Linked DNA regions of Bombyx mori. The protein of the gene in region 4 purifies or fractionates together with the protein of the main gene of each other region. This does not show direct contact. Links are inferred from orthologs where the notes say so. Each region holds a gene or a part of one and is shown on either strand. Other genes may lie near its edges.

Region 1 (4,307 bases), about 15 Mb from region 4:
TTCACCAGGACAGGTGAGCGAGCAAAGGCTCAGCCAGGAAAGGGTACATAATTAGTGATTATGTATGTATAGTTTTTGTTTGAAATAGTTTAAATTTTGTGTTTTGAAGTTAACAAAAAACACGGTATCTGAACAGTTGCGATGTGTGAAAATTAGTGAGCAGGTAGTTTTGTTCTCTATTTTATAACACCACCTAGAATCAATGCGTTCATCCACAGTGCATTTCCATAGATATTTTTTGCCACTTACCTATGGTGCTTCCCGAAAGCACATATCCATAAAACGAGGCTTTTATACAGTACTTAGCGGTAGGCAGCGTTTTAGCTCTGCCCCTGGGAATGCTAATGTACATAGACGACGGTAACTTAAAAAGTAAAAAACAACGGAGCTTGCGAGTGCAGCCGCATGTTATGACTACGAACAATTTTGTTTACATAACAAACTGTGTCCCTACAGGTATATATAATATAATATAGATATAATAATATATTGTTTAGGTTGTCGTGATAGTTTTTTCTAAGACTCGCAACGTTGTTGATGCATCATGTCGTTTTTCGGTTTCAGACATCGTGTCAAATTTATATTCTGTGACGGCTACCGCTGTTTTGTGCGCTTGTAAGGTTAAAAAAGTGTAGGTACCTCCAAATTCTAGTGCTCCTATTAAGGACATAAATAAATCATAAAAACAATTTATGAACCTAAATAAAATTTGCAATGGAAAATGATTTGACAATATGTAGGTCTAAGAGACCACAATATGTTGATGGATGCTAATTGATGGATGCTAAAATATTTGTGGGTGTTTTATCAAGCTAAGTTCATTTCGTTACGGAACCCTTCATAGTGTAGACTGTTATACACTTGACGATATAGGTAATTTTTTACAATGTTTCGAGCATAGATAATTTGTTTACACCATACACAAATAACCTTAGGCCTTAGATGATAATAGTAACGACAATTAATTGACAATACCTACACAATTTCAAAGGCAAAGTAGGTAATTTACTCTCTTATACACAGTCTATTATCTATGTATACTAGTAGGTACCGTACTTAAATTTAATCAGAAATTGTCAACTCGTTCATAATTAATATTTAATTTAGTAGTTATGTACAAATATGTTTATTTAATAAATATCAAGTGTATTATCTATGGTTCTCATGTTGCTGTTGTCATTGTCTACTCGTTCTAATTTATTTTTAAAAACTCTTGCAAATTATAGAGCTTTTAAATCAAGGTACCGAACTGTTTTAGCGGAATTTAATTGCATAAGTGGCGTTAACTACATTCACATTATAATCTAGCCGTGAATCAAGTGAAAATACCTACCAAAATAGAGGATACAACAAATTGAACCGGCATTTAATTACCTTTAAGAAAACTTTAATTATACTTTTATCGTAATACCTACTGATTACATAATACAGAAATAAAAACTATGTAATTTGTTGTTTGCACACTACATGCTTTTCTGTTTTATATTAGTTTATTTTCATTTTAGAACAATGAGCAAGTCTGCGTTAGTGATTTTGGCGCAGGGTGCAGAGGAGATGGAGACAGTTATAACTGTTGATATGCTGAGACGAGGAGGGGTTTGTAGTCAATTAATTCATTAAATCCGTTGACTGAATTTCCTTAGTTGGATTGTAATTAGACTTTTGCTAATCGACATATTTCGCCCGTCATGTGGTCTTGACGATCTGATAATGTGATTCCAGATAGCTGACTCTCGCTCGTCAATAAAAACTAACACCCTTTTATCAACTATTCAGTTACAATGGTCGCCGGGTAATCATGATGCTACCACAGCTGTCAATGACAAAGTCTAAAATCTAAATGACAAATAGACCAACACCTCAGCTGATCACTGATTGATAGTATTAGCAATATAATATAAAACTTATAGCCCTAGTCTCCTATTACTATAGAAAATTTAGTGTATTCTAAAATTGCATAATGAAAATCGACCATAAATTATCAAATAGTTGAATACTAGATCACTGCTTAATTGTAAATCTTAATTAAACAATAAAAAGTTACTACTTACTATATACTGATCAATTGCTGTTCTACTCGAATGTGCATCAGTTGCGTAATTGTTGTCCACTCCCAACTGCAACATCATTGAAATAGTTTTTTCATATTATGTTATCATAATGATGTTATGTGTATAAGAGTTATACTATGGTATTGGTTTGAACACTAAGGGTAGGATTGAAATCATGAATCTTTAAAATATTATAATACTCGGAGAGCATCCATACTCATAAAGAATATTTTTACCTTTTTATCATTATCTTAAAGGACGAAATCCATAGAATTTCAAAGAAATTGTATCAGGAAAGGAAGTGAAAATGAATTGGCTATGAACAATAAAAGATACTATATTGCTAAAACAAAAGGACATTGTATCTAAATGATTTACAAAAGAGAAGCTGCCTTTATTGGAGGACGAACTCCCAGGTCTCACAGCACACCTGCACACAGCTCATGCTCATTGCAGATTCCATAGTAAACAAAACAAAGGTTACATTCTATACCCATGAGAAGGAATATCATAGTGGTATTCTAACCAATGAGTAATTTATTATTAAGCTTTTTTCTTATTGAAAAGACCTTATTTCCCCATAGGTAACAGTTACTCTAGCTGGCTTGGAAGGTTCATCTCCTGTGCTGTGCTCAAGGCAAGTGACTCTAGTACCTGATAAGTCACTGACTGAAGCCCTCGCTGAGAAACAACAGTATGATGCTGTGAGTATCCTTACCGTTATCTTATACAGCAAAGTTCATTTGCAACTGCAGAAACTACATCATTTCTAGAAAAAAATTACAATAGTACACCCAATTTCTATGTTAACATAATTTAGAACCTGAGAACCTTAGAACCTAGAATTATGCACCCCAGTTGTGATTTTAATGGCTAATGATTCTGTTCTATTAGGTTTATTAAACATTTAGACGTAGCATAGGCATGATCCAAAATAAGATTAGCTAGTGACAACCCATAATAACCGGGGCACGAGTCACGACCATCACCTAGCCACAAATTAGATTCCCTGTCTTGCACCACCGTTTCAGTTGAAGTTGAAGAAAATACTTGGCATCATCAACTACAATGAATGTTACTTTGACAGGCGTTATATAGCACTGCAGGTGTCACCTATAAAAATAAATAATTTTCTCCAAACAGGTGATTCTACCAGGAGGCTTAGAAGGATCAGACAGTCTCTCCAAATCCGAGAAGGTTGGTGCTCTGCTTAAAGACCACGAGGATAATGGGAAAATCATTGCTGCCATTTGTGCTGGTAAATGAATTACTAAAAATTTTTTTTAAGTTTGCTTCCAATTGAGTTTGGAATACTAATGTTACCAATGGATGTCATCATCATCATCATCATCACAACCGACACCTCCTCGCCACTCCTCACCCGTTCCCAATGGATATACTAATTTTAAATTTCTAAACTACATGTTGACTTATTAATATTTTGTCCCGGTAAAGTCAACAATAAGTACAGTTGATTGAATAAGCCAATAGAAACATTTGTTTATAGACATAAGAGAATTCTCTTTCAATAAGCAACTACGTAAATAAAATATTAAAAACTATCTAAGGAAATATCGCAACATATATAATGTCACAGACATAATATGTAATTAAATGTTACATTGGCAGCTCCCATAGCGTTTGCAGCCCACGGCGTGGCGAGGGGCCGGCGCGTGACGTCATACCCCAGCACCAGGGACAAGCTGTCGGCCGGCGACTACACGTACGTGGAGGGGGAGAGGGTGGTGGTGGACGGCAACGTGGTCACCAGCCGGGTCAGTGATCTTATTATAAAGCTATAGGGGTTAAAGTATGAAATTGCCGTTCTATTGTAATAGGCACTCCAAATTGACATAGAACTTTTGAGTGAAACTTTTTTCAAATGGTACCTATAGGGTTCTTCTTTTGAAAAATGTGCAACATTCGATTATCGATTTTTAGTAGTTGACTCGATTCATGAATCGATCTTCACCATTATTGCTCCATGATAACGCGAGACCTCATACAGCACGAGAAACCGTTTTAACTCTACAGGAACTGCAATTAGGAATCATTTGTCATCCTCCGTATTCGCCAGACCTTGCTCCAACGGACTACCATTTTTTTCGTGATTTGGACAATTTTGTACATGGTAAAGAAAAACTTCGCAGTTTGTAGAATCTAGATCACCAGAGTTCTATCGCAAATAAATGACTTTCCTATTAGATGGCAGCAAAGTATAGATAATAACGTCATCAACAGATGACGTGGATTGAT
Region 2 (2,808 bases), on a different chromosome or scaffold from region 4:
AGTATGTACAAGCGCTTTTTAGTGATCTCAATCAGTGTATTATCTAGTGTCTAAGCGGTCTACGGTTTTACAAACACAGATAATACATACCATGACATGGGGTAAATTGGGATTCTGGGGTAAATTGGGACAAACCTGCGGAAGATTCTCAAAGTACTTGTAGCACGGAATCTACCTAATTTTCTTTAAGGTAATATTTATCAATGTATAGAAGAAAAACCAAGTTAACTATGGAAGTACTAAACATGAGTTAAGTTGGACCCAAAAATTCGTCAAATTAAATTTAAAATAGTGGTTGAAAAGTGCGTTTTAAAACAGCCTAGAGAACTTTTAAAAAAAGTAATATTATCGTTGTTTTTTCAATAAGATCACAGTATAAATAAGTTTTTAATACACCTGGAAATACCACAACAAACGGTAAGTTGCAATATTCTTATTTTAAATACAATATTTCGACAAAATAAAAAATGTATATTTTTTCCTTTCTTTTTGGGGAAAATTGGGACGTATGTAGGGTAATTTGGAACGAGACTGGAAAAATTATGGACGAGAAAACACAAAATTGGAACGCCAAAAGACAAAATAGGGATGGCTTGTTAGGGTTGTCACTGATATCTTATAATAGATTTTTTAGCCTATACTATCACTTAATTGCGTGATGTAAAGAAGGTTAATGTGTTTATCAGTTAGTTTATGTAAGTATTATAGGTAAAAGAAAAGTATATATATAATTACTTTTTTTTCGCGACATTTACCTTGTAATATCTGCCCGGTCGTATGTTCTTTATAGCAATAAAAAAAATTAAAAGTTAAAAGAACTCCAACGAATCAAAACTTTTGTTATTTCAGAATGTATTCACGCGTCGAATCATGATTTTGTTAACATTCACAACGAACACACACAAATAAAAACAGGCCTCAGATTTTAAATGTAACATTAATAAAAAATCCGAGATATCCAATTATGAGTGAGTGAATTAATTGAGTTTAGTTATTTCGCTTAGAAATAATTTCTTTTATTTTTGTTATTATTGGCAGTAATCAGATAAAGCTGTTTTTTTATCTTATTCACCTGATATCTTACTCTTGCTCAAAGATTATTTTGAAAATGTTGATTAAATAAAATTGTATTATTGCATTTCCAGTCCTTTTGGATTTATTCTATTTTATGATTTTGTTTCAGGGTTGTGATTTTTAAGGAAATTAAATAATAATTTTCTAAAATATAACATGCACATACTTTTTTTGATCATTGTATTGTTGATTATCATTCACGTCACATCGCTTCGGAATAGAAACCAGCTTAATTTACACTATGTTGTGTATTGTGCTTAAATTATGGATTGTATTCATCATTTCGGTCCATATAAATAATTATATGGCACCTATATATCGCAGTACTGCGAGTTGACAACCCTTACAAATATTCCAATTTAACCCTTAACCGTGTCAATTTACCCCGGACGCTGGGTAAATTGGGACGGCCATTATTTTACCGATTATTTCTTTAAAATGAATAATTAAAATAATGTAACGGTTTTTATCACCTAGGTACGTTCAAGACTCAACTTATTTCTTTGGTTGGGCAGTGACTATTTAATTGGAACTGTTTTAAAATTCAATCTGAAGGTCGATTTTGTCCCTATTTACCCCATTGTACGGTAATATCTAAAAGTGGATATATTCTGTGATCGCAGTTTCTGGTTTGACAATCATTGAGATAACCCGGCAACCGATAGGACTGTTTGACTCGAATATTCTAGATTCCGCAAATTTTGAACAGCGTTCATCGTGCTCATATTCTTCGCTTTTGAATTCTGTTAATTAAAAATCGAAATGGCCAATGCAGTAAAACGATTGGTTCCTCTTCTGGACCGTGTCCTGATCAAAAGAGCTGAAGCTATAACCAAAACTGCCGGAGGCATTGTCATCCCAGAGAAGGCTCAATCCAAGGTTTTACACGGAGAAGTAGTAGCGGTCGGTCCTGGAGCCCGAAAAGAAAATGGAGACTTCATCCCCGTTCAAGTTAGTGTGGGTGATAAAGTTCTTCTTCCAGAATACGGCGGTACTAAAGTAAGCCTTGAAAATGATGAGAAAGAATATCATCTCTTCAGAGAGTCTGACATACTGGCGAAAATTGAAAACTGAATGATGGTAGCTTTAACATGTGATTCTAATTCTGTTAGTTTAGTTGTAGCGTGCGCAAATGAAACGTTGATATGGTCGTGTATTTTTTGTGAGGTATTGATCTTATCTCAGTTGCAATACTTGCATTTCTTATTATAATAATAATTATTGTTATAAATCTGTCGTTTTATTCAAAATTTCTCCACTGTTATATTAAAATGTTACATCATCATGTAAACTAACCTAACCTCAAAAGGAGCATGCATTTTATAAACGAGTTGGTACGTTGAGGAACAATTCTTGTGTCCCAACATACTATAATTGTAATACGGCAAAACTATTGAAGTCAGCCTCAATATGATTATCATTAATTTGAGAGCAAAAATGCTATAGGATTATTTCAATTCCCATTGAAATAGAGCTACTAACAATTAAAATTAATTGAGATAACACTTAATATAGTATTTAGTAATAGCACACTGATATTATTTTTAATCTTTGCTATTGTGGAAGACCATATGAGCACAGACTGCCATTAAGTGAGCAGTTATAGTTGCTCATGCTCTTGTCAGCAGTGACAATGCTATATATTTTGATTTATGCAATGGGCTCCCTACAATTTTTTTCTCAGCACTATAACATGTCCTTTAAATAAGGTTCAGACTCCAGAGCAGGTGCAAA
Region 3 (4,025 bases), on a different chromosome or scaffold from region 4:
AAATGCCAACGGTCAAAATTGACAGTTTAGTCATTTATTTGAACCGTATCGACAAAAAGAAAAACAATTGATTAAGAAAAGAATATACCAAAAAAACTAAATTAAATTAAATTAACGAAAAAGAAATAAACGTAAGTACGTAGCTATTACATGTAGGTAAGTAGGTAAGGTATGTAGGTAGGTACAATTTAATTAATTAAATCATTTGACGTTTGTTTGAAGTTTGCATTGATTTTAGTCTATTAGCTTAATTTTTTTTAAACAGAATAGACTCGCACCACTTATCATAATAATCTTAGATAACAGAAATGTCTATATGAACTGAAATTTATAATGAAATGAAACAAAATGAAATACATGGAATTAAATTACATGAAAAAATAATTCCAAGTGGAAATTAGATGACATATAATTGTTAAGCTCTCGGTCAAATTATGAAAATTTACTGAAATGTACTTTCATGGATTTTTTGTACTAACCAGGTTTCTTTTTTTTATATAACTTTCTATTTTCGGACATTGTCAGTATATATGTCATATATTGTCGGTGTATCATAGTCTTCCTTATACATACATCATTTTGACTAGTCTCAATACACTTCTAATACATATTTTGTATGTGTCAGTAAGTTGTGTGAAATGAAACTAAGACAGCATTAATGTAAGGTATTGATAATAAGAAGTTTTCATTGTACCATAATTGAATTAAAGGAGAAAAAACTTGTAAACGTGTCAGTGCTCGAGTCGGGAATTTAAATAAGAAAGCTGGACGTGGCTTTTCGACTTTCGTTTCATGTAATCGTATACTTACTCTCTATTATCTCATCTGAGTTCCTTTATTTTAATTTCATTTTATTTAATGTATTCGTTCCATTTCAGATTTGTTCAAATGACTTGGTCTTTTATAACTAAGATTAATTTGTATTCAATGAGTTCTTTGCCTTTTCAATGGACGAATCAAATAAAATTATCTTTGATATTCAATGTCATAGAGGTCATCATTGACGTTATTCTTAATTTTGTTCTCGTTGTTTATTCTATTTTAAATTACATGATAAACATTCTGCCTATTATCTAACAATTTTGTGATTGGACAGATTTTAAGATCAAGAAGAAAGTGACCAATTGCAAAAATATATTTTAGAGTCTGATAAAAGAAAGCTCAAAAAGAATCGTTTTAATTTATTTTTGTCGTATGTGGTAACTTAAACTTAACAGTACACTGCAGTTGATACACGATATTTGTTGAAAAGTTGGAAGCTCAAATAAGGTAAGTTAAATATTTTTAGTTTAACTTAATAAAAAGTCAAATTGTTTAGTCCTATCGTATAAATAATCTAGAAGAAGTAAAATTCAGAAATAAATACCGTGTTATCGGCTGTGTTATTTCTGCTAATTTTAAACACCCCTCTTCTAACAATCCAGTAATATAAGAACTTCACGAATAATTATTTATTTATACTAAACTAAATAATAATAGGTAAGTATCTTCATAGGAAAATTATGAAATCATAATTTTTCGTCAACTTACGGTCTGCTAACAGTTTGCACGGATCTGTACTGGTATCCGGCTTCTGAACCAAAGCAATTGTCTTCCCAATTATTGGGCAGTACAGCCGTTACATTAATAAAGTTAAGATTTTAACATCATTTCTTAAGAGACGACTGATGACATTGGCTTCACATTTCGGGCTGCAATATCTCCCTGTAGAGAAGCTCATAAAAAAACTTGCATAAAGGAAAAATCATATTTTCATTCTGTTACTCCCTATCTAATATAGATTGACATGGTAAACCTTAATATATTCACTTTGCTTTATATATTAATAATATATTATATTGCCTTAACAGATAACAGAAATGGGTCGCAAATTTGTTGTTGGAGGTAACTGGAAGATGAATGGTGACAAAAATCAAATCAACGAAATAGTTAATAATCTAAAAAAGGGACCTCTAGATCCTAATGTTGAGGTAAATGAAATTCAATACTATAATGTTAATTTTAAAATTGATTTAGGCTTCAATTTATTATATTTTAAGCAATGCTTTTCAAAATATGATCTTTTAAGACTTTTTTCTTAAAAGTAGTTTGAACAGGAAAACTGATTTTTTGTTGGCTGTAGTCTTCCTAAACATACTACTTTTATTGTATGTCATATGCATTTAATTAAATATTGTGTGTTCACTCCACAAAAAAAAAAAACAAATTTCATTATTTTGTTAAGTGACAATGTTACTTTTTTGAGAAATGTATCAACTTGTTGTCAGGTAATTGTTGGTGTTCCTGCTATTTACCTGTCTTATGTGAAGACTATCATTCCTGATAATGTCGAAGTTGCAGCCCAGAACTGTTGGAAGTCTCCAAAAGGAGCTTTTACTGGTAAATGTGGTTTATCATAGTTATCGGAATTTTTGTATAACATCAAAACAATGTTCCAATTATGATATACAGAGTACTAAGTAATGTTTTACTGTTGCTTCAGGTGAAATTTCACCCGCTATGATCAAAGACGTTGGAGTAAATTGGGTTATACTTGGTCATTCTGAAAGAAGAACAATTTTTGGTGAAAAAGATGAACTTGTTGCTGAAAAGGTAGTTTGAATTGTTGATACATTAAATGTATTTTTTTAATGAAAATTTATGAAGCTTGTGAGAGCTTATAGCATAACCTTTTTGATTTCTCTAATGGGGTTTCAAAATGATTAGCACAGTACTCCACCGCAGTATTTTGTGCAATGGTATATTTATAATAATCAGACTAATCATGTATTAATTAACAAGCTAACAAAGTGCAAAGCTAAGACAAAATTTAAATAATGCACTATAAATCTGTTGACCTCTATTAGTATTTTCATTGTGTTGTATTTTCTAATTTTTTTCTTAAATCCCACTTTAAGCACTAGCTACACTATCAGCACGCTATGAGGGCCATTTTGACATACTACAATAGTGATGTAAATTGTCAATTATTATTTATTCTCCAAAAAATGTAATGAAGTCTAAGTTTTTATTGCAGGTAGTACCTGATTAAAAAAGTTTAATAAAACAAAAATATAAATGCTTACTTAATATATTTGAACGATCTGTATATTGGAATAAAAATTAATATACATACTACAAGAAATAAATTAATACAAAAAGAGACCAAAAAAAGTGCCCCAAAAGGCTATATTTAATCAGATACGTCCATTCTGCTATTTTCACTGTCATCACTGTTATCATCACCTACATTAATTATAAGTTTGTTTTCTAAAATATTATCTATGTTCAGATTTCTTTCGTAATCTTCCCTTATTAGTTTAACAGTTCTTTCCACAACCTTTTCCCAGTCTCTTTTAGTCACATGTTCACAAACTTCTAATATTTTTAGCATTTTTGATGTGGTAAAGGGGGTTTTGTATCGTGTCTTGTAGCATATCCCTTAATTTGTGCCAACACCAACTCATTTGCATAATATTCACAATGGTAAGGCGGTAACCGTATAACTCTGTGCCCCTGTTCTAATGCTATTTCTTCAATGACGTATCGTATCTGGGTTGGTTTGAATTTCGAAAAACAAATGCTGATTTGTGTGGTAAATAAGTACGGTACGGAACACAAATGTAATTACTATTAATACGAAACTTCATGGGTGGACAAACGTCAAAACGGCCATCATAGTGTGCCGGTAGTGTCGTGTGTGCACTAGGATGCGTTATGTGTTTTATCTATATGTGCTCTAAAGTAACCAGGTGTTTGAGTTTGAAAGATGGGATAGGTATTATTCAATTTAGTTCTGTCCATTTATTGTAATTTTTTTTACCAGGTTGCTCATGCCCTTGAATCTGGCTTGAAAGTCATTGCCTGTATTGGTGAGACTCTCGAAGAGAGAGAATCTGGCAAGACTGAGGAAGTTGTTTTTAGACAATTAAAAGCTTTAGTATCGGCCATTGGTGACAAATGGGAAAATATTGTGCTTGCCTATGAACCTGTATGGGCTATTGGTACAGGCAAGACTGCTACTCCCCAACAGGTTTGTTTATCAC
Region 4 (4,159 bases):
TAGAACATGAACTATATTTTATTACTTACATTAGGATTATTAGGAAAAGATACAGAATCACAATCTACATCTAGTGAAGATTCAGAATCCATCACTAGAAAAGGGCTGAAAATAAATGGTTAAAATCAATCCTTCATGTGGCTTTTAATGGCTGATGCTGTCCTATTTTTATTTCGCCCTGTTAATTATTGTTAGGTGATATTTTAGGTCTAATGCAAACCAATCCAAGGATTTACATTGTTGTTAGAAGCAGAAGCTATAAATAGGTGGTGAAAATTTCTTGGCAAATTCGAGCAAAGGCAAATTCATAGACTAAACACTATTTCGGCAAATTAGTAGTAGTTTAATTTTTCCAGCTAGAGAGGCAAAGGAATCATACCATACAGCGTAATCTTTTTATTCTGTGCGTGTGTTTGTCACTGAACTCCTAAACGGCTGGACCAATTTTGATGTAATTTTCTGTATACCTTCAGATGGATTCGAGAATGGTTTAGATTTACCAATCATATGGCGCCCGGCAGAGGGCGCTGCAGTCGGTATATCTAGGTTATATAAATTTCCTAGAAATAATTTATATGACAAAACAACGTTTGCCGGGCCAGCTAGTCTTTTATATATTATATTTTTATATGAAAAATGATATTATAAAATGAAATAAAGTTGGTTAGAAACATGGCATAAAATGAAATGATAATAATATGTGTCTATTAAGTGTTTCTTCAGGTTTAAATGCGTAAATAACGGTGGTTTATTAACTGTTTAGTATCTATGAAAGTGCATAAATGTGGGAAAATAAAACCAAACCGCTGGACGTAACTTCTTGGGATCCTTTTTTACTGATGGTAGGACCTTTTGTGAGTCCGCACAGGTAGGTACCACCACCCTGCCTATTTCTGCCGTGTAGCAGTTATGCGTTTCGGTTTGAAGGGTGGGGCAGCCGTTGTAACTATACTTGAGACCTTAGAACTTATATCTCAAGGTGGGTGGCGCATTTACGTTGTATATGTCTATAGGCTTCAGTAACCACTTAACCAGGTGGGCTATGAGCCCCATCTAAGTCCACTCATCGAAGAAATAAAATAAAATAAACTTCCAAAAAGTCCACTGAAAAAGTCTCAGTAAATGACCACCATTTTACTGAAATTATGTTTCATCCTATATCATCTCTTTTCATTTTATTTGTCTCAAATTAATCATCTTCATTTCATTTCACTCCACATTATCATTTTTCATAAAAATAAGAATAAAAATTAAAATAAGACTACCTACAGGTCTTAGTTACCAGGTCATAAAATCCCCTAAAAAAAAATCTGTATAGTCATTTGTCAATCAATTTTGTCATTGTCACAGTTTAATTGGACTCTGAAGTAGTGTGAAAGTGTTAGCGGTTTTTCTTGTAAAACTGATTTATAATATTAAATATTTTTTAATCTTGCTATACTCTAAATATAACATAATACAATATCACAATGCCCGCCAAAGCAGTTTGCGTACTTCGTGGTGATGTTAGCGGAACTGTTTTCTTCGATCAGCAGGTATTACCAACGACTCCAATATTAAGTTACTAAATAAATTGTATTACGTATGTACTTAGGGTTATTTAACCATATAAAATAAATTCGTAAGTATGTACTTTAACATTAATAATACACACTTTTATTAATGAACCAATATTAAATATATTAATGAGAAATTTGTGTCTGTTATAATACCGGCCGACATTTTTATGTACCTACCTACCTGGTTGAAGATGGTTCTAGAAGTCAATTGTTTTTTTGCGTTTTTACTGACTGGTTTTTTATTTTGCTTTATAATATCGTACAGTACAGTTTTTTTATTTTATTAGGAATGGTAATGTCCTCATAAATGCAGTCCAGTATTAAGCAGTTACTGCAGCCTATGCACTCCAGTACTTATAGTGTGTTGGACGGTTGAATTTGAGTGGACTGGGTTCTGGGGTGAGAGGCTATTTAAAAACATTGCTTCATGGTTAATATAATTATATTGCATATACTTTGTAAACTATTACACCATTATAATATTTTATTTTTACAAAACTCTAATATGTTGCTCTGTCCGTGTCTAGATGATAAGTCATTGTCTACACTGACGAGAAGACAATCATCTGTTTTAAATATTTAAATAAGCATTCCAATATTTGAAACTGTAACCTTACATGTGTTAAGTGTTGCCTACCATTACTTTTATATTCAAACTCCATCATAGTGGCACCAATATTTATAAACAAATAAAATATTTATTCAAGCATTTCCTCATTTATTAAAATTAAAGAAAGTGCTATGTTGGAATTACAAATACACTAAGTAAAATTTAATATTAATATAATCATTCTGTACAGTTAGTTGTCAGTGTAGAACATTTTTCTTGATTAATGATTCAAAATAATTTAGTTTAAGAAGTGAGTTTTCAATCTTTACATAAAGTTACCCATAAATTACGATTTGTTTTAAATTTTCCTTATACTCTGGATGCTTAGTAACCTTGTCATATATGTTGATTGAAAAACTTATCTTGCATGAAAAAATACTTAAAATGATTTCATGGTAATAATACATTATTAGATTAGAAAAATGTAACACTAAATTCAATCATACTTGAAAAAATGAAAAACATTTTCTAAAGCCAATCATCTTTGTGTGACATTTGAAAAGACCAGACTGTTCTCATGACTTTGTATTTAAATATTCTACATAAGTATTAATCCTGACAATGAAATGAGGATATTTTTTGGATTATCCTCTTATTCTTTTTCAGTATTTTTAGTTGACGATTGTTAAGGATGTATAAAAGGTGTTGTTTTTGTAATATATGTATAAGGAAAATTTACCTTACAAACTTAATATAAAATAAACAAAAAACATTTCAAACTGAAAAGTTGATATATATATAATAAGTAATAAGAAATAAGTTATTGATCAATAATTAATTTTTTTTCTGATAATTACAGTCAGACTGATGAGAGAAAAAAACAACGTTTTAAATAATGCCTTTCAATTACAGGATGAAAAGTCACCTGTTGTTGTTTCTGGAGAGGTCCAGGGCTTGACTAAGGTTTGTATGTGATGTTACTACGAAACTTATTACTTAGTACAAATAGGCTTTGACAGGCTATCAAATTAGGACAACTGACTGGGGACTGTATGACTGCTAAAACAAAAACAAAATTTATTCTCATTTCCTGAATTCCACTCATTCAATGTGACACCATAACGGAAGTGCTGCTTGCTCTCTTTGAGCCCTGTAGTGTATATAATTGCTATCCAGACGTCAAAATTGAAATTTATCTTGAGCCAAAAATAATCAATTATCAATTTGGCTCATAACTGTTCAATCATATACAAAAGCAAGAATTCGGCAGGAAGCAGGAAGTCATAATTAAAAAGTGTCAAGAAAATGGAGTCGGCCTGTCTCTTTAATACTTGTTTTGTATTTTTTTATCTGTAGTGTCTATTTTTTTTTCAAAGTACAAAAAAATATAATTATAGTTATCACTTGTAAAATCCCAATGTAAATAGGTAATGTTAACAAATAAGAATAATTAAACTGTTTATAGTCAAATGACCTTGCAATGATAGTGATTGTGTATAATGTACATACAATTACTGAATATGATAATATGGAAGCTTGTATCGAACTAGCAAGTCATTATTCTTTAAACATTGATAGTAAAAAAATAATGTTGTAATAATAACTGATAAAGAAATTGGTTTTAATTATTGAGAATAGTGTAGTCAATATTCAGAACTTTCAGGTGGTTTTAACACGTAATGTAAAAAAATATATTACATATTGACTTGTTTAACAGTTAACATGAAGAAATACAACAATGCAAAATAAGCTTCATGTATTCATTCTGAAAATCTGGGCATCATCTACTATGGTAATGAATAAACTTTACTGTTAAAGGGTAAACACGGTTTCCATGTGCACGAATTTGGTGACAACACAAACGGTTGCACATCAGCTGGAGCTCATTTCAACCCTGAAAAACAAGATCATGGTGGTCCCAGTTCTGCTGTACGCCATGTCGGCGACCTCGGTAACATTGAGGCAATTGAAGACTCTGGAGTCACTAAAGTAAGTACCATCATTTTGATGACCTCAACAACTTGATATGTTAAATAGCAACATCATTCTC
Region 5 (4,097 bases), on a different chromosome or scaffold from region 4:
GCCATAGCGAAGCCTTCTCAATTTCATTTCCATTTGGGCCATCGTACAGAGCGCTGATCGCCTGGTAAACAGTGTCCATTGAAGGAGCATCCATCGTGGAGATTTAAATTCTTATACTAATCTCAACCCCACACTTTTCTGGTGCATAAAATGTTACTTTTCATATCTACTTAAGAAAGTATTGTTTCGAATCAAATTTGATTACAAAAAGAAACTCAAAACGAAACGACAACGAACCACAAATTGCAAATGACAGATGACAGATTCGAGTCAGTCAGCAGGGCTGAGCTCGAAACCGCATTGACTTGATTCAAGTTGACTGGAAAACGAAGTTGTAATATTTTAATTTACCTACCTATTAAGTCTGCTCAACCCAAACAAGTAGCATTGAGATTTTCTTCCTACAAAAAATAGATCTTAACGTTAGTGTAATTTAATTCTTGGGATGTAATCATCTGACAATACTTTACAGGTTCAAACATATTCAGGGGACAAAACTTGAGCAGTAGACCGTATCCCTATTTTAAGAAGATTGATTAAAAACTTATTTTTTACAATCATTATATGATAAATAACGACAGAAAGACACGTAGAGAAAGATGTAGAAATCAAACGAGTAGTTTGTCTTACCGCGTAAAATACCGCTTGATTAATGAAATGATTTGATAATGACCAAATCCTAGAAAATTTAAATAATTAAAAAACGTTTTTTTTATTGCCCTTGTAGACAGACGAGCATACGGCCCACCTGATGGTGAGTGGTTACCGTCACCCATGGACTTCAGCAATGCCAGGGGCAGAGCCAAGCCGCTGTCTACCGAGGTTAAGTATAAAGAATCATATCAAGTTTGTTCTTGAAACATACAATTTAGTTATTTTGTTATGCTATTAAACCACTATTAATATTATTAATTTTTTTCTTAATTGAGTTATAATATATATCCGAAAGAAGTTATTATTATTTACTTATAGTGATTATTATTAATAATTACTGTGAAATATTAATTAATTTCTGATAATCTATGATGTAGATTTAAATCAGTAGCTGGTATAATAACAGTGGATATATGATTCATTTAAGCCCAAAGAGTATCGATGAAATGTATTGGTACAGCACCGTGGAGTCATTGTTAAAAGTTTTAATTTTCTAACTATTTGGCAGCAAAAATGGTTGGTTTTTTAAGAGTTTGTGGCGACTAAAAGGTCAATTCCACATTTACGTAGAAAGACTTCAACCTATTTGGAGATATTCGAAAAATACAGGGAAGATGACAAAACAAAATATAATGTAAAAGGCTTTTTTTAAACGAATTGAGAAAATAATAGAAATACGTACTATATAATTATGCGCGCTCCATTACTGAGACCCTTTATAAAAAAAATATTCATTACTCTATTCTTTCGGGCTTAGTAAACTTTAGACCTTACCTTTTGGCTTAAGCCAGGAACGAAAGCACATTAGAGCATCTAGGTATTTATTAATATTAACCACTGAATTTTTATAGTGTATGTACCCTTGTTCTGTTTCATAATGCAAAGCGTCGTCATGACGGCCGAATGACATTTGACAGCTTGACATAAAAGTTATCAAAGTTGTGAAGGTCATGAACTTTTATCATCTGTTAACTTACGATCGATATAACAAAATAAATAATAAGTAAGGTAACTACCATAGTAAAAACTTCTACCTTCTAATGTTTCTCACAGGGTCTTCGATTATCCGTGGCATTACCGCATTCACCAATCGAGCGTCAGCGCGAGCACTTCACATTTCACAATTAAGCATGGCACCAATTAAGGTAAATTATTTAAGAAAAAAGACTTTTTGGAATTACATAACAGGTTTTTTTCAAGTGTTTTACTTCAAGGTCGGGGATCAGCTGCCTGCTGCTGATTTATTCGAAGATTCTCCCGCTAATAAGGTGAATATTTGTGAGTTGACGGCGGGAAAGAAGGTTGTATTATTTGCGGTGCCGGGCGCCTTCACCCCGGGATGTTCTAAAACACACTTGCCGGGATACGTACAGAACGCAGATAAACTGAAATCGGATGGAGTTGCTGAAATAGTGTGCGTGTCTGTTAATGACCCGTATGTGATGGCGGCTTGGGGAGCTCAGCACAACACTAAAGGAAAGGTAATTCCTTCATACAAATATATTATTTACGTCATTCTCTTGTTTAAATTTTTCAATGAGATATATTAACATTGAGGTACCAAAATATTTATAATGCGAAATGTATTTAAGCATATATCTATAGATCCAGTAACCACCATTTTAATACTGCCACGTGTCTTGAGGACTGACATTGGATTCACGGTTACATTGTAATATTTGTTATACCCTCTAAATTGAATGCAAGCTTGCTTAATAGTAAAATGTTTTTACTCGAATAATAATTGCTTCAAATTATTTTCATTTACTTATCTGAATTTTTTATTTTGATTTTGTTAATTTATTTTTATCAAAAGTGAAAACAACCTGAAAATAGTTTTTCTGCTACCTACACAGTATCGCAATCAAATATATCTAACATATTACTGAGTGGAATTTAATTTAGTATTTTCTTTGATTTTCGGGGGGATCTTTGCATTAAGTAAAACTTATTTTATGGTTTATAAATTTATTTTATAATTAATTATTACCTATTTTATATTCATAGTTCTATAATATAATAAATACCAAACAGTTTTTAAGTCGTGGGTAATGATTACAATATTGTGCTTCTAATTTACCTGAAACCTACCTACTTGTTTCTGATAAAATATACAATGATCAAATATTAATGACATGACCTACTATTTAAATGATTAACGTAAATAAAGAACAATACCTTGAATTAACTTATTTACGACAATAAATAAAAAAGGTTCTGTTAGTAATCGTTCCGTTGTGACCTTCTCACAGTCACAACAGTATAAGACCTTGTTACCAATAAATTTTAAGAGAGTATTTTGTCTATTGATATTACATCGAATCAATGTTTTTTGAATGTGCGGATTACTGAAATGCATAAATGGTGGTGGTATGGTGTAAGCGGACATGGGTAGGTACCATTCCTGTCCCTCTATAGGTAGATATAACTAACTATACTTGAGACCTTAGAACTTATATCTCAAGGTGGGTGGCGCATTTACGTTGTGGATGTCTATGGGCTCCAGTAAACACTTAACACCAGGTGGGCTGTGAGCTCGTCCACCCATCTAAGCAATAAAAAAAAAGATAGTTAGGTAGGACTGCTATTATACAATACAGTTGAGTAGATCTTTGTAGTGCAGTAAACACAAAACACAAGGCAGTTTACTCACTCATCTGAATATATAATAAAAACTGAGTATACAACATACATATTAATAATATGTATTATTTGTAATTAGTGATTTTAAAATTACAAGAGCCATATTTAATGAAAAAATGTCCAAAAGCTTATTATGAACGTGGGAGCTGTTATCAGACGTTATAAGAAGTTATGAGGTCGTCTACAGGGCAGCGGCGACCGTGCCATGACCAGTGTGTATATGTGACAAAACAATAGCAGTGTGTGTCATCATCACATTTTTTTTTGTGTTGAATTTTTGCCCGCAACAGAGTAATCGCGATTGCGGTATTACAAATAGTATAACATAAAAAGTAGGTGTGTGAACTAGTGCAACTGCTATATCGATCCCACGGCAGGTGGCACGTAAAAGTTTAACTATGTAGATAAATAGTTATTGAGTTGGCAGTGAAGCCAGTCTTAGTTAAAATGAGGTCGGAGTCTATATTCACCATTCAATCTGGAGCGTATGATAGTTTTTCGGCAGACAAGACATTTTTTAGTTATAGATGAGCCGACAAGCTGATTTTCTTAACAAGCTAATCTTCTACGGTAGGCAGCGGCTTGGCTCTACCCCTGGCAAAAAACAAAAAAAAAACCTTGAGTAGCCACATCTTATCGAAAAAGTATAATTAGGTACATTGTAATAACGGCTCTACAATAACTATTGACATCGAGGCGGTAGTTAGCTACTGCTTAGCTCTTTATGTCTATGACTCTCTTGGGATGTAATTGTGGTTCCCACGTCCTTCCCCATCAGTATTTCGAAGGGATTTAGTCCT

The links.
Region 1: the proteins of SOD (region 4) and BmDJ-1beta purify together in Homo sapiens (affinity purification with mass spectrometry; 4 studies listed by BioGRID and IntAct, with this or other methods). This does not show direct contact. The link is inferred for Bombyx mori from reciprocal best matches to the Homo sapiens genes SOD1 and PARK7.
Region 2: the proteins of SOD (region 4) and 10 kDa heat shock protein, mitochondrial purify together in Homo sapiens (affinity purification with mass spectrometry; 3 studies listed by BioGRID, with this or other methods). This does not show direct contact. The link is inferred for Bombyx mori from reciprocal best matches to the Homo sapiens genes SOD1 and HSPE1.
Region 3: the proteins of SOD (region 4) and Tpi purify together in Homo sapiens (affinity purification with mass spectrometry; 3 studies listed by BioGRID, with this or other methods). This does not show direct contact. The link is inferred for Bombyx mori from reciprocal best matches to the Homo sapiens genes SOD1 and TPI1.
Region 5: the proteins of SOD (region 4) and peroxiredoxin fractionate together in Homo sapiens (co-fractionation; 3 studies listed by BioGRID and IntAct, with this or other methods). This does not show direct contact. The link is inferred for Bombyx mori from reciprocal best matches to the Homo sapiens genes SOD1 and PRDX5.

The regions. Positions count from the first base shown.
Region 1 is NC_085129.1:16,172,220-16,176,526, forward strand, and holds the start of BmDJ-1beta (DJ-1 beta), read left to right. Parts: upstream 1-1,503; 5' UTR 1,504-1,505; coding exon of another isoform or gene 1,506-1,509; coding exon 1,510-1,596; intron 1,597-2,635; coding exon 2,636-2,755; intron 2,756-3,194; coding exon 3,195-3,309; intron 3,310-3,680; coding exon 3,681-3,826; intron 3,827-4,307. UniProt on the Homo sapiens protein: Multifunctional protein with controversial molecular function which plays an important role in cell protection against oxidative stress and cell death acting as oxidative stress sensor and redox-sensitive chaperone and protease.
Region 2 is NC_085117.1:15,042,779-15,045,586, forward strand, and holds 10 kDa heat shock protein, mitochondrial, read left to right. Parts: upstream 1-1,447; 5' UTR 1,448-1,836; coding exon 1,837-2,148; 3' UTR 2,149-2,305; downstream 2,306-2,808. UniProt on the Homo sapiens protein: Co-chaperonin implicated in mitochondrial protein import and macromolecular assembly. Together with Hsp60, facilitates the correct folding of imported proteins.
Region 3 is NC_085107.1:8,566,536-8,570,560, reverse strand, and holds the start of Tpi (triosephosphate isomerase), read left to right. Parts: upstream 1-1,210; 5' UTR 1,211-1,269; intron 1,270-1,850; 5' UTR 1,851-1,859; coding exon 1,860-1,970; intron 1,971-2,267; coding exon 2,268-2,379; intron 2,380-2,482; coding exon 2,483-2,592; intron 2,593-3,805; coding exon 3,806-4,012; intron 4,013-4,025. UniProt on the Homo sapiens protein: Triosephosphate isomerase is an extremely efficient metabolic enzyme that catalyzes the interconversion between dihydroxyacetone phosphate (DHAP) and D-glyceraldehyde-3-phosphate (G3P) in glycolysis and gluconeogenesis.
Region 4 is NC_085129.1:803,886-808,044, reverse strand, and holds the start of SOD (superoxide dismutase [Cu-Zn]), read left to right. Parts: upstream 1-1,353; 5' UTR 1,354-1,469; coding exon 1,470-1,535; intron 1,536-3,021; coding exon 3,022-3,072; intron 3,073-3,927; coding exon 3,928-4,098; intron 4,099-4,159. Other genes in the region: uncharacterized protein LOC101740193, read right to left, coding at 30-92. UniProt on the Homo sapiens protein: Destroys radicals which are normally produced within the cells and which are toxic to biological systems.
Region 5 is NC_085118.1:970,279-974,375, forward strand, and holds the start of peroxiredoxin, read left to right. Parts: upstream 1-1,295; 5' UTR 1,296-1,398; intron 1,399-1,626; 5' UTR 1,627-1,694; coding exon 1,695-1,799; intron 1,800-1,868; coding exon 1,869-2,135; intron 2,136-4,097. Other genes in the region: transportin-3, read right to left, coding at 1-94. UniProt on the Homo sapiens protein: Thiol-specific peroxidase that catalyzes the reduction of hydrogen peroxide and organic hydroperoxides to water and alcohols, respectively.